Canis lupus familiaris: one gene and its partners. The protein of the gene in region 3 purifies or fractionates together with the protein of the main gene of each other region. This does not show direct contact. Links are inferred from orthologs where the notes say so. Each region holds a gene or a part of one and is shown on either strand. Other genes may lie near its edges.

What was found. Proteins that work in one complex are often made in the same cells at the same time.
Region 1: the proteins of CCNA2 (region 3) and SCAPER purify together in Homo sapiens (affinity purification with mass spectrometry; 3 studies listed by BioGRID and IntAct, counting the BioPlex papers as one, with this or other methods). This does not show direct contact. The link is inferred for Canis lupus familiaris from reciprocal best matches to the Homo sapiens genes CCNA2 and SCAPER.
Region 2: the proteins of CCNA2 (region 3) and RBL2 purify together in Homo sapiens (affinity purification with mass spectrometry; 3 studies listed by BioGRID and IntAct, counting the BioPlex papers as one, with this or other methods). This does not show direct contact. The link is inferred for Canis lupus familiaris from reciprocal best matches to the Homo sapiens genes CCNA2 and RBL2.

The regions. Positions count from the first base shown.
Region 1 is NC_049251.1:40,246,367-40,249,480, forward strand, and holds the end of SCAPER (S phase cyclin A-associated protein in the endoplasmic reticulum), read left to right. Parts: intron 1-2,228; coding exon 2,229-2,332; 3' UTR 2,333-2,505; downstream 2,506-3,114. UniProt on the Homo sapiens protein: CCNA2/CDK2 regulatory protein that transiently maintains CCNA2 in the cytoplasm.
Region 2 is NC_049223.1:61,549,097-61,552,750, forward strand, and holds part of RBL2 (retinoblastoma-like protein 2), read right to left. Parts: intron 3,453-3,654; coding exon 3,288-3,452; intron 2,763-3,287; coding exon 2,651-2,762; intron 1-2,650. UniProt on the Homo sapiens protein: Key regulator of entry into cell division. Directly involved in heterochromatin formation by maintaining overall chromatin structure and, in particular, that of constitutive heterochromatin by stabilizing histone methylation.
Region 3 is NC_049240.1:19,143,259-19,147,012, forward strand, and holds the start of CCNA2 (cyclin-A2), read left to right. Parts: upstream 1-1,381; 5' UTR 1,382-1,666; coding exon 1,667-1,879; intron 1,880-2,655; coding exon 2,656-2,899; intron 2,900-3,754. UniProt on the Homo sapiens protein: Cyclin which controls both the G1/S and the G2/M transition phases of the cell cycle. Functions through the formation of specific serine/threonine protein kinase holoenzyme complexes with the cyclin-dependent protein kinases CDK1 or CDK2.

The DNA.
Region 1 (3,114 bases), on a different chromosome or scaffold from region 3:
CTCTGGGACCACACAGAAACCCGTTTACCGCCCCACCTAAGACATGTGGATGCACACACCGAGTGTATTTCAAACAGTAAAGAAACAGATTTTGGCACCAAGCATAAATGCATCCGAATATACAGAGAAGTCTGTGGAAGTAAAAGCACAAAACATCTTTATGTAATTCATATGCACCTCATGCAAGATATAATAAATGGTGAATAATCACTTCATAATACGGGAGACAAGCAGATCGTTAACATTGGCCGACGATCGTTACTCACAGAAACGCTACAATCACATCGGTTTGCTTCCCTATGTTTAGAATAAAATTATTAATAATAGTCGCCCATATTTTCCCCCTAAATTCAAGTGCTCGGATATTTTTAATTAAAAATTAAAAGTGTAAAACTGTGTTACTTGGAGAAAAAGCCATCAGACTAACAAGAGCCCAGAGGCCAAAAGATTTACAAGTCCCCCCCCCCCCCCCCCGCAGTGTTCCCGCTGAGGCGTTTGCTATGATCAGAGCTGGAGATGTAGAATTTTAAAGTGCATTTTTACGCTTTTCAATATTCTACACACGCTGTAATTGAGAAGCACAAGTTGCTCTTTGTCTGTCAGGACAGCGTCTCTGATTAATGAGACCCTAATACAGATTTTCCCCAAGTCGTCCATCAAGTGGCCGAGGCCCACTCCCAGCAGGACTGTCTAGGGCGCCCACCAAGTGGCCCTTGCTTGGCGGGTGGGGAGTCGCCCTGGACGGACAGATGGACACACACACACACACACACACACACGCTAATCCTCTGTAGTGGGCAGGTGTCGAAAAGTACACAGGAAAGAATACAAAGCTGTAACAATATTGTGGAAAAATGTCATGTTTTATTGGTTCAGGCATTCGGAGAAGTAAACGGACAGCTATGCCTGTCTTCAGGAATTCCAGTCAGCATCAGAGTCGGTACCATTTGTATCTAAGCCAGAATTAGTGTGCAAGTTCAGGTCTGTCCTGACGCACTCACAGCCCTTTTTTTAAAAAGAAAGAAAAAAAAAAGGCAGCAGCAGCTATTGGAGGTTCTGTGGGAGAAATCTGTATAAATGGTTACTGTGTCTTAGAAAACAATGTCTTAAATTTTGAATATATGAAAATGCCTTGAAAAGTCTTCTAATGTATTTATTTTTAAATGTACAGCAGGGGTTTGTTTGTTTTGTTTTTTTTGTTTTTTTTTTTTTTTGCCAGTAAGAAGCTTAGCCATTCTTTTTTCTTCCTTTCTCCTGACTGTAAGGATGAGTCACCATTTGCTTCAAATCTGGCAGGCAGGAGTCCCAAGAGCTGCCTCTGCTTGGTGGGCTGAGGCCTGTGGGAGTTTCAACTTACTTTCTTCTCCAAGGGCCATTTTCTCTGACTTCCATGCTTTCCCCAGGTACAATGGGCTTAAAGCACTAAATGGCAAATGGGGACCTGTTCTCTGCATTTGTCAGAAAAGGTCATCATCATGTTCCTGGGTGACAGCCCCTGATGTGCTCACTTGGTTTAAAAGAAATGACTACGCCCCACGAAGTGCCAGTCTGCGCTTCGGACATCTGTTCCCCTTTTGCTTAGATTGAGTCCCCGGAAAACGTTTCAAGGCCTTTTGAGTTCACTGCCCAGGTGAGCCGCGACAGCTCCGGGTAGCGCCGCACGCAGTCTCCATGACAGAGGACCTGCTGTCGGGGCGCCCGCTGCTCGTCCCTGCCGGCCACGGGGCGGTTTCCTTTGCCTGCGTCAGTAATAAGAAACTCGCTCTCTCTGCTTCGTTAGATGACTGAATGCCAGATTTCAGCATTTTAAAAGTTGACTTAAAGTATTTCAAATTAGACCGATTTAGAGGACAGACATCAAGCTTTCATATCTACCCTTTCAAGGCTGTCTTACGGATTGAATGAATGCCATTTTACCTTGTTCACCGTGCTTATTTTCCCCTTTTCTTACTCTGGAGTCCAAAAACACTTTTTCGTCATGTTTTACAGAGGGATTAATGCCTGAATATGTTAGAAGCACAAAATAAATTGTGATTAAAAATATATATATATAAAATGCTACGGGTGAATGTAGGTGGACGGGGGTCGCCTTTACATAAACGCGCATTATGGTCTATTCGAAGTGCACGTCCCTGTTTTGTAGTCCGATGTTGAAATAATTCCAATTGCTTAAACTTCAAAGAATCTAACTTCTCTCTCTCTCTCTCTCTCTCCCCTCTCTCTCGCAGGCAAATCCCTCGGTTCCCAAGACTATCTTGAGCTGGCCAACAGATTTCCCCAGGAGGCCTGGGAAGAAGCGCGACAGTTCTTTTTAAAAAAAGACAATAAATGAACGGCCTGGTTGGCCCGTCGGGCGCCCGCGGAGGCTCTGAGTGTCGGGACCAAGGCCTGAGCCCGGCTCCCTGCTCGGCGTCCCCAGGGCGCTCGGCGTCGAGATGTGGGTGAAGTTAGACTAAACTGGCGAGTCTGTTTCCTTCTTGTAATAAAGTAACTTATTCTCTTTGCGTCCGTGGCTCTTCTTGCGGAGGCGGCACGAGGGGGCCGGGCGGGGCCGGGCGGGGGCGGGGGGGGTCGGGGCGCACCTGCCTCCCCGGGGTCCGCGCAGGTGCCCCCCCCCCCCCCCCCCGGCCGCGGGGCAGAGACGGGGCTGCGCTCGGGCCGCGGGGCGCCTCCTCCAGGACGGCCGCCGGGCTCTTCCTCCGCGGCCCGGGGCGGGGGCAGGGGGCTCGGGGCTCGCGCCCGCCCCCAGGACAGCAGCGCCCCGACGCCCGCGGAGCATCCTCAGGGCCGGAAGGGGGGGCGCGGGCAGGGGGAGGGCGCGGGGGGCGGGGAGGGATGGAGGGGGGAGGGGCAGGGGATGGAGGCGGGGCCGCCGCGGAGCAGCCGGTGCCCCGAGAGCGCAGCGCCCCGGCCCCGACCCGCCGACCGCCCCGGAGCCCCCGAGCCCGCCCCTCCGGCCCGACTGCGCCCCCCGCACCCGCCGCGGCCCAGGGCGGGGAGGACCGGCCACCTCGGGGCACCCACGGCGCACTCGGCCTCCAGGTCCCCGCACAGCCTGGAACGGACGAGCCCCCGCCCTGCCCTGCCCTGCCCCGCCCCCCCCCCCCCCTCCCC
Region 2 (3,654 bases), on a different chromosome or scaffold from region 3:
TCACTGTAAAGCCACTACTCAAAACAAGGGGACTTGATATTACTAGGACATCATCTGGGAGCATTCCCCCCCAGTTTTATCAATTTGCATCTTTGTCTTTTTCCATGTATAGAAAATTACTAAAACTCAATGTTCTTCAGCAAAAATGGATATATGTGTTTTGGACTCAATTAAGCTTAGTTTATTATATTCTTTAAACAATTTTATTAATGCATAATTCACATAAATTTCACTTAAATTGTACAATTCAATGCTTTGAATTTGGTATTCAAATTTTGGTATACCAAATTTTGAATCTGGTATATTGCTACCTTTTTAATATATATATATATATATATATATATATATATATATATATATATATATATAACATGTAATTTGCCATTTGAACTATTTTTGTATGTACAATGCAGGGCATTAATTCCATTCACAATATTGTGCAACCATCACCACTATTTCCCAAATTACTTTGTCATCCTAAACATAAACAACCCCTATAAACATTATAGCACAGTCTGTTGTTAAATATGCACATCAGTGGCTGAATTTTTAAGCAGCATTCCTTCCAACTGCACATCAATTGTTGTTTTTAATTTAAAAATATAGGTAGGGAGGTCATAAGAGGATAGGGGTACTCGTGACAGACTATAGCTTAACATTTTAATTTTCCAATGGCACAAAACCCAATAAACTTACTAGATTTGTATTTGGAACAAACCTACAATTGGAAAGAATGCATTAGGATCATTATCTTGTAAAGCATTAAGAGACCTCAAGAAAATGGAGAAGTGGTAAGTACAAAGAAAATGAGTTTATTATTATTTTTTTTAATCTTTATTTTTTTTTTTAAGATTTTATTTATTTATTCATAGAGACACAGAGAGAGAGAGTGCGGCAGAGACATAGGCAGAGGGAGCCCGACGTGGAACTCAATCCAGGCCTCCAGGATCACACCCCAGGCTGCAGGCAGCGCTAAACCGCTGCGCCACAGGGGCTGCCCAAGAAAATGAGTTTAAAGTCAGGTCCTAAATCCACAGATTAGGGAAGGAAAAACTCTATAGAAACAGGACTGAGGAAGACCAGCTGTCAGATCTGTGTCTAAGATGGATAACAGGCAGAAAAATAGTTAAGCCATTATGATTCCTCTTCCAAAAAATGAGGAAATTTTCATATAGATTATCCATAGTTATTGAGTATGCACTGATTCTTGATTTTAAATCTGATCTTTTTTCTATAACCAGTGCTTATCAATTACATTAAAAGGTTCATCTAGAAATAATATCCTTCTAATGGCACGTAAGGATTTAGAACTCTCTGAATTTACAAAATTGCTTTTTAAAAGCAGTTTTGTCTTAACTATGTAAACTTAAACCTTGCATGTGGAAGATGTTACAAGAACAACCTGAAGGGGTGCTTGACTGGCTCAGCCTATTGAACATGATCTCAGGTTGTGAGTTTGAGCCCCATGATGGGCATAGAGATTACTTTAAAAAAAAAAAAAAAAAAAAAGCAGCTGCCTAAATAGAACCAGATGAATAGTGAAACTTCTCTTTTCTGTATTTCTGGGGCCAGCACTGCTGTCCTATAAACCAGTGTAGCACAGCTCAACTGACAAGAGTTAAAGCTGAACATGCTCTGGCCATTCAGTACTTTTAACTCATCAGCTTGTCTATACCTAGTTGCATCATACAACTCTATCTTTAAGAAGCTTTTGTTTTTTCCTGATTTTACTTTTTAAAAAAGATTTATTTGAGAGAGAGCAAGAGAGCAAGCACATGAGAGTTGTAGGAAGGGGAGGAGAGAAGCTCAAGTAGACTCTGTGTCAACCACGGATCCCAACATGGGGCTCAATCCCACGACCCCAAGATTACAACCTGAGCAGAAATCAAGAGTTGGACACTTAACCAACTAAGCCACCCAGGCACCCCTCTTCTGATTTTAAAAGAAATACATATTTATTTTTAAAAATTTACAGAAAGCACCTGGAATTCTATTAACCAATATTTCTTAACAGTTTGGTTTTCTTTAGCCTTTCTGTATGCTTATATATAATAAACACACACTTAAGATACATTAATTAATATTAGTATATATTATTAATATATTAATTATAATTAATTATATAGTATTCTCTTTATTTAATATTAATTATAGTATTATATATTAATATATAGTATTAATATATAGTTATATTAATATATAGTATTCTCTTTTTAAAGTCACTTGTTATTACATGTATCTTCCTGTGTTCTTAAATATATTTCAAAAGCACTACTTTTAAGTGATCCATGTGGTACTATAATACTCAACTTATTCTGGCTATACAAGGCTTTCTAGGGGAGGGTTCCAGTTAATAATGCACAAAATATTTCTTTTATTTAAACCCTATTAATTTCACTTCTAGTTTCAGATAGAATTTCAATTCTCAGATATTAGGCTCCCAAATACTCCCCTTAGTATTTTTTTTTTTTTAAGATTTTATTTATTTATTCATGACAGAGAGGCAGAGGAAGAGGGAGAAGCAGGCTCCTTACAGAGCAGGGAGCCCAATGCAGAACTCAATCCCATTGAGGATCATGACACAAGTTGAAGGCAGACACCCAACCAACTAGGCCACCTGGGTGCCCCCCTCCTAATATTTTAAACTTACTTCTTCCAAGTCCTCCAGTATCCGCACGAACTTCACTCACCCTTCTGGGAGTCAAAGGAGATCCAGCAATACAAATATCATCTGCTCTTTCCAGGTTCTGGGGTGGCATAACCTATAAAGAATGATATACAGAGTATCATTATTCAAAAAGGTATTTTCTTTAGAAATACAGTCACAATCTAAGGCAAAAGGAAACTTGGCTCACCAATTCTTTAATGTAAATAAAATCAGTGTCTTTTCCAGTTTCATACTGAAGTTGAAAAGGTCTGGCAAGCTTAAAAAAATTCAAAGCTAATAGGTGAATTCTAAATATGATTCAGCCTTCATTACTGATTTAGATAATTAGAATACCAGCCATTCTAAAGTACAGAGACTTGACTAGAAAATTAAGAGAGAATGCTGAATTCTTACTCTGGCACTGAAACCTTGAAGCAATCACACATTATTTCTGACTCCTAGAGTTAGGGGTTTCTTCTTAGATACAGGGGTGACTATACCATATTAAACCCAATGGCCACCCTCTCACTTCCCATAAGGGAGATACTAAGTTTAACTGCTCTCCGTGAAACAAGAATATAAACAGATTAGATCCTGTTATACTTTTGTTACAGAAAGATGTTAAGGTATTTTCACAAACCTCTTCACAAGTAGGAACTCTGTTTTCATTGTCTCTAATTCTGTCCCAGAGTGGAGACTCTGGTTTCCATGCCAAATGATCCAAGATCTGTTCTTCAATCTGATTAAGGTGTTTTACCACTTCTCTACAAAGACCATCTTCTGCTCTAATGAATACTTCTATCACCTGAAATAAAAAATGCCCTGGTTTAATAATTATTTTTGTCACTAAAAATGCATTTATTAAGTGTGAAGCAAAAATGGGTAAATTGCATTTTTTACATATTTATAGATACAACAGATAATTCATCAAAAATTAAAAATAGAGATCCCTGGGTGGCGCAGCAGTTTGGCGCCTGCCTTTGGCTCAGGGTGCGATCCTGGAGACC
Region 3 (3,754 bases):
GGCTCCATGCAGGGAGCCTGATGTGCGACTGGATCCCTGGTCTCCAGGATCACACTCTGGGCCGGAAGGCAGCGCTAAACCACTGAACCACCCAGGGATCCCCCAATTTGCAACTGATTTCACTCTTGCTAGGTAATGTTTTGTGACCCGTGCTCAGTTTGTGAGCTTGAGTATGCTCAGTGCTATAAATTTTGGCCAGGGAAATGAGCAGAGCTGCACAGATTGAAGGGATCTTCACTTGCTGTCCTATAACCAGTAGAACTGTACAAGGCTACTACATGTGAATAGTGCAGAAATAGTGATGGCCTCTTAGATTTTCCTGCACTAGTGTCCACTGACTTGTTTTATCATGTAGAGAGGGAAATAAGACTTTAAAGCTACAGAAGTTTTATTCACTAATGTTAATTCATGTTTCTTCATACTCAGGAGAATATTGTGTTTGAAGATTGTTTTAAAATGGCGTAAAGATTATATAATCATGTTTTTAAGAAGGGCATCCTCATGAATTTGTCAGAAAACAAGGTCTCTTAATTCTTTACCATTATATTAATATATGCAAGCCTTGTTTATTAAATCTGAGAACTTGTTAAAGGCACATATCACTGAGAGTTTTATTTTAAAAGGTCATGTTGTTTTTATTTAAACAGCCTTCATTGCCAAATGGAACAAAATTCTGTATCTATGTCACTAGAAATTTCACTGGGTGCTTTTTGTTGGCTGGCACAGCTGGGAAAAGCATCAAAATTAGTGACTGTCTAGTTGAGTTTCTTCCAGTACATTACTATTTGTTTATATATATGTATCAACAGTAGTTAAGGTAGCACCTACCTAATCACATCTTCATGAGGTGAATTCGGAAGCATGACTGAAGAAACCCCTAAATGATACATGACAGTACAGTCCACACTCGAGGATCAGTAAGCAAGCATGTTAATGATTTACGCACATTACATAATCACAACAGCCATACGACATGTAGCATTTTACCCCCAATTAATAGATGAGAACACTGAGAATCAGAGACGTGTCATCACGGGGCCCGCCTACCAGGCCGGTTCGCGGCTGGGTCGGATCCGAGCTTGGGAGACCAGTCAGTCCAGCCAACTGAGGGCCCCACGGCCAGCGTTAGGCAGGCGCGGCCACTAACAATTGCTGGGGTTTGACTCCGTCGGTCCTAGAGACAGCCGCGGCCCAGCACCCTCGGGTCACCAAGTGGCCCAGTTTAGTCACTAGAAGTTCAGGCCCCGCCTCTTTGGCCGGCGCAGGCGTTTTCCCTCCCGCCGCCTTTCGGCGTTTCTCCGCCCCCGCTCCGTGGCCTTCACGGCTTCCTTCATTTGTCTGCGACCGTGTCGCCTTGAGTGACGTCAGGGGCATCGGCCCTTCCCATTGGCCCATTTCAATAGTCGCGGGATACTTGAACTGCACGAACAGCCGCCGCTCCGGCGGGCTGCTCGCTACATCTCGGGGGCGTCTTGAGCCCTCCACGCCCGGCAGTTCCTGCCTGAGCCTTTCGCAACGTCCTCGGAGCTGCGCGATCCCGAGCGAGCAGGCTGGCCCGGACTGCCGCGGGCGGCTGCGGCTGGAGCGTTTCTCGGCGGGGTCGGCGGGACGCAGTACACGCTGCTTGGCGCCGCAGGCTGATCCCGCCGCGACCCGGGGAGCAGTGATGTTGGGCAGCTCGGAGCCTGGGCCTGAGGCCCGCGAGGCGGGCTCGTCGCTGCTAACGTTGCAGCATACGGCGCTCCAAGAGGACCAGGAGAACATCAACCCCGAGAAGGCGGCGCCCGCCCAGCAGCCCCGGACCCGGGCCGGGTTGGCGGTCCTGAAGGCCGGGAACCAGCGCGTCCCAGCGCCGCAGCAGAGGCCCAAGACACGGCGGGTAAAGAGATGAACGATATCTGCAGGCGAGGAGGGCCGAGCGGGAGTTTTGCACGAGGTTTGAGCAGGCCGGGGAGCGTGGCGAGAAAGCATCTTCCGAGCTGTTGTAAGGGAGGCCTGGGTCTGCAGTCCCCTTGATGCCTAGTGTTCTGGCGCGGGGGATGCCACGTAAATCTTTCCCATAGCTCTCTTCGCCAGCGCTGTGTGTTTTGCTCCCTGTCTGCTCTTTATTTGGTATATTTTCCGATAGAATATGAGGGTCAGACCGAGCACCACGACGTATGTCCGCGCTTTCTTCGCCGCTTTAAACCCCAGGCACTGCCCTAGGATCTGGACCCCCTTCCTGCTCGCCATTTGGTTAAGATTACCTTTACTTTAGGAAAGAGTATAAAAAATAATTTTTTTTTACTAAATTCCGCCATTTTACCGGATTTGCTCTGTTGCTCCACCCTGGGGCCAAAGCGGTGAACCAACACCTCTTTGCCGGCTCTCCTAAACTTGTCATCATTCAGCCTGCTACCCCACTCCTCTTGTGGCCTTGATTAGTTTTGCATAAATGCATTTAGTGTGATTCTATAACTTATGTAGAAATGCCGCTAACGAACTTGAACATCCCTTTCTTCAGCTATTCAAACTTTACTGCCTGGATTTTGTCCCAGATAGTTTAATTTCCTTAGAGTATTTGGGAGTGAAAACAGAAACTGAGAACCGTAAGGGGAAGAAAGCAAGCAGAACTCCATTTAATAGGCTCAAAGCTAGCTATTCATTTCTTTTTAGGTTGCACCTCTTAAGGATCTTCCTATAAATGATGAACAAGTCACTATTCCTCCCTGGAAAGCAAACAGTAAACAGCCTGCATTTACCATTCATGTGGATGAAACAGAAGAAGAGACTCAGAAGAGGCCAGCTGAATCTAAAAAAACAGAACATGAAAATGTCCTGGCTTTTAATTCAGCTATTACTCTACCTGGACCAAGAAAACCGCTGGTACCTCTTGATTATCCAATGGATGGTAGTTTTGGTAAGTTTTAAAGAACATCTGTATCAAATCAATGTAATCCTAAAGTGATTATGGATTAATGATAGTTTCATTTTAAGACATTATTTTACCTGACCCTTACTATATAATGAATTTGGTGTAATGTAACAAAGTTTAGAAAGGGTATGATTCATCTCCGATCTCACAGCTCATACATTGACCTAGTGACCTATAAATCCTAACTGGGTGCTCCTTCCTTCCCATATTACTGCCAATCACATCAATTTAATTAGATCTCAAACCCTTATTTTAATCTGACCCTGGAAATATTTGCCTGCTTGGGAGAATAGATTTGAACCGTATTCATAAACTCACTGTGTACATACCACTTACGAGAGTATTTGAATAGGATACAGCTTTCAATATTGTGATATCTAACATCTCTTACAGCTTAAAATTTTCTGTAAATCCAGTCTGATACCAGAGAGGGACACTGTCCTCCTGTGAGGCAAGAGTTGAATCATGACTGCAGCTAACCACATATAAAATGAAGTAGCTGCTATAAAGCAAGCTCTGCCAACAGTTTATGCGTGCAACTTCTTTACCATACATAGATAGGTCTGTTGAGTCACTGGATAATTCATTCGTTTCATCTCATTTAGGTTTTAGTTCTGAGAAGTGGTCTGGGAATAGCAGGAAAATCCTTTGGAAATAAAGTAATTTTTGTATTTTTCTTGAAAATTTATAACAAACTTTAACCTTACAATGAAACTTGAAAAGAGTAATGAATGATATTCTTTGCCTCAAAAAGTAATTTAAAATTACAAAACATGAAACATTTGGTGATTATAGTGTTAATTTGTTTGAATTGCTCATAACAAACCTAATTTTAATTAA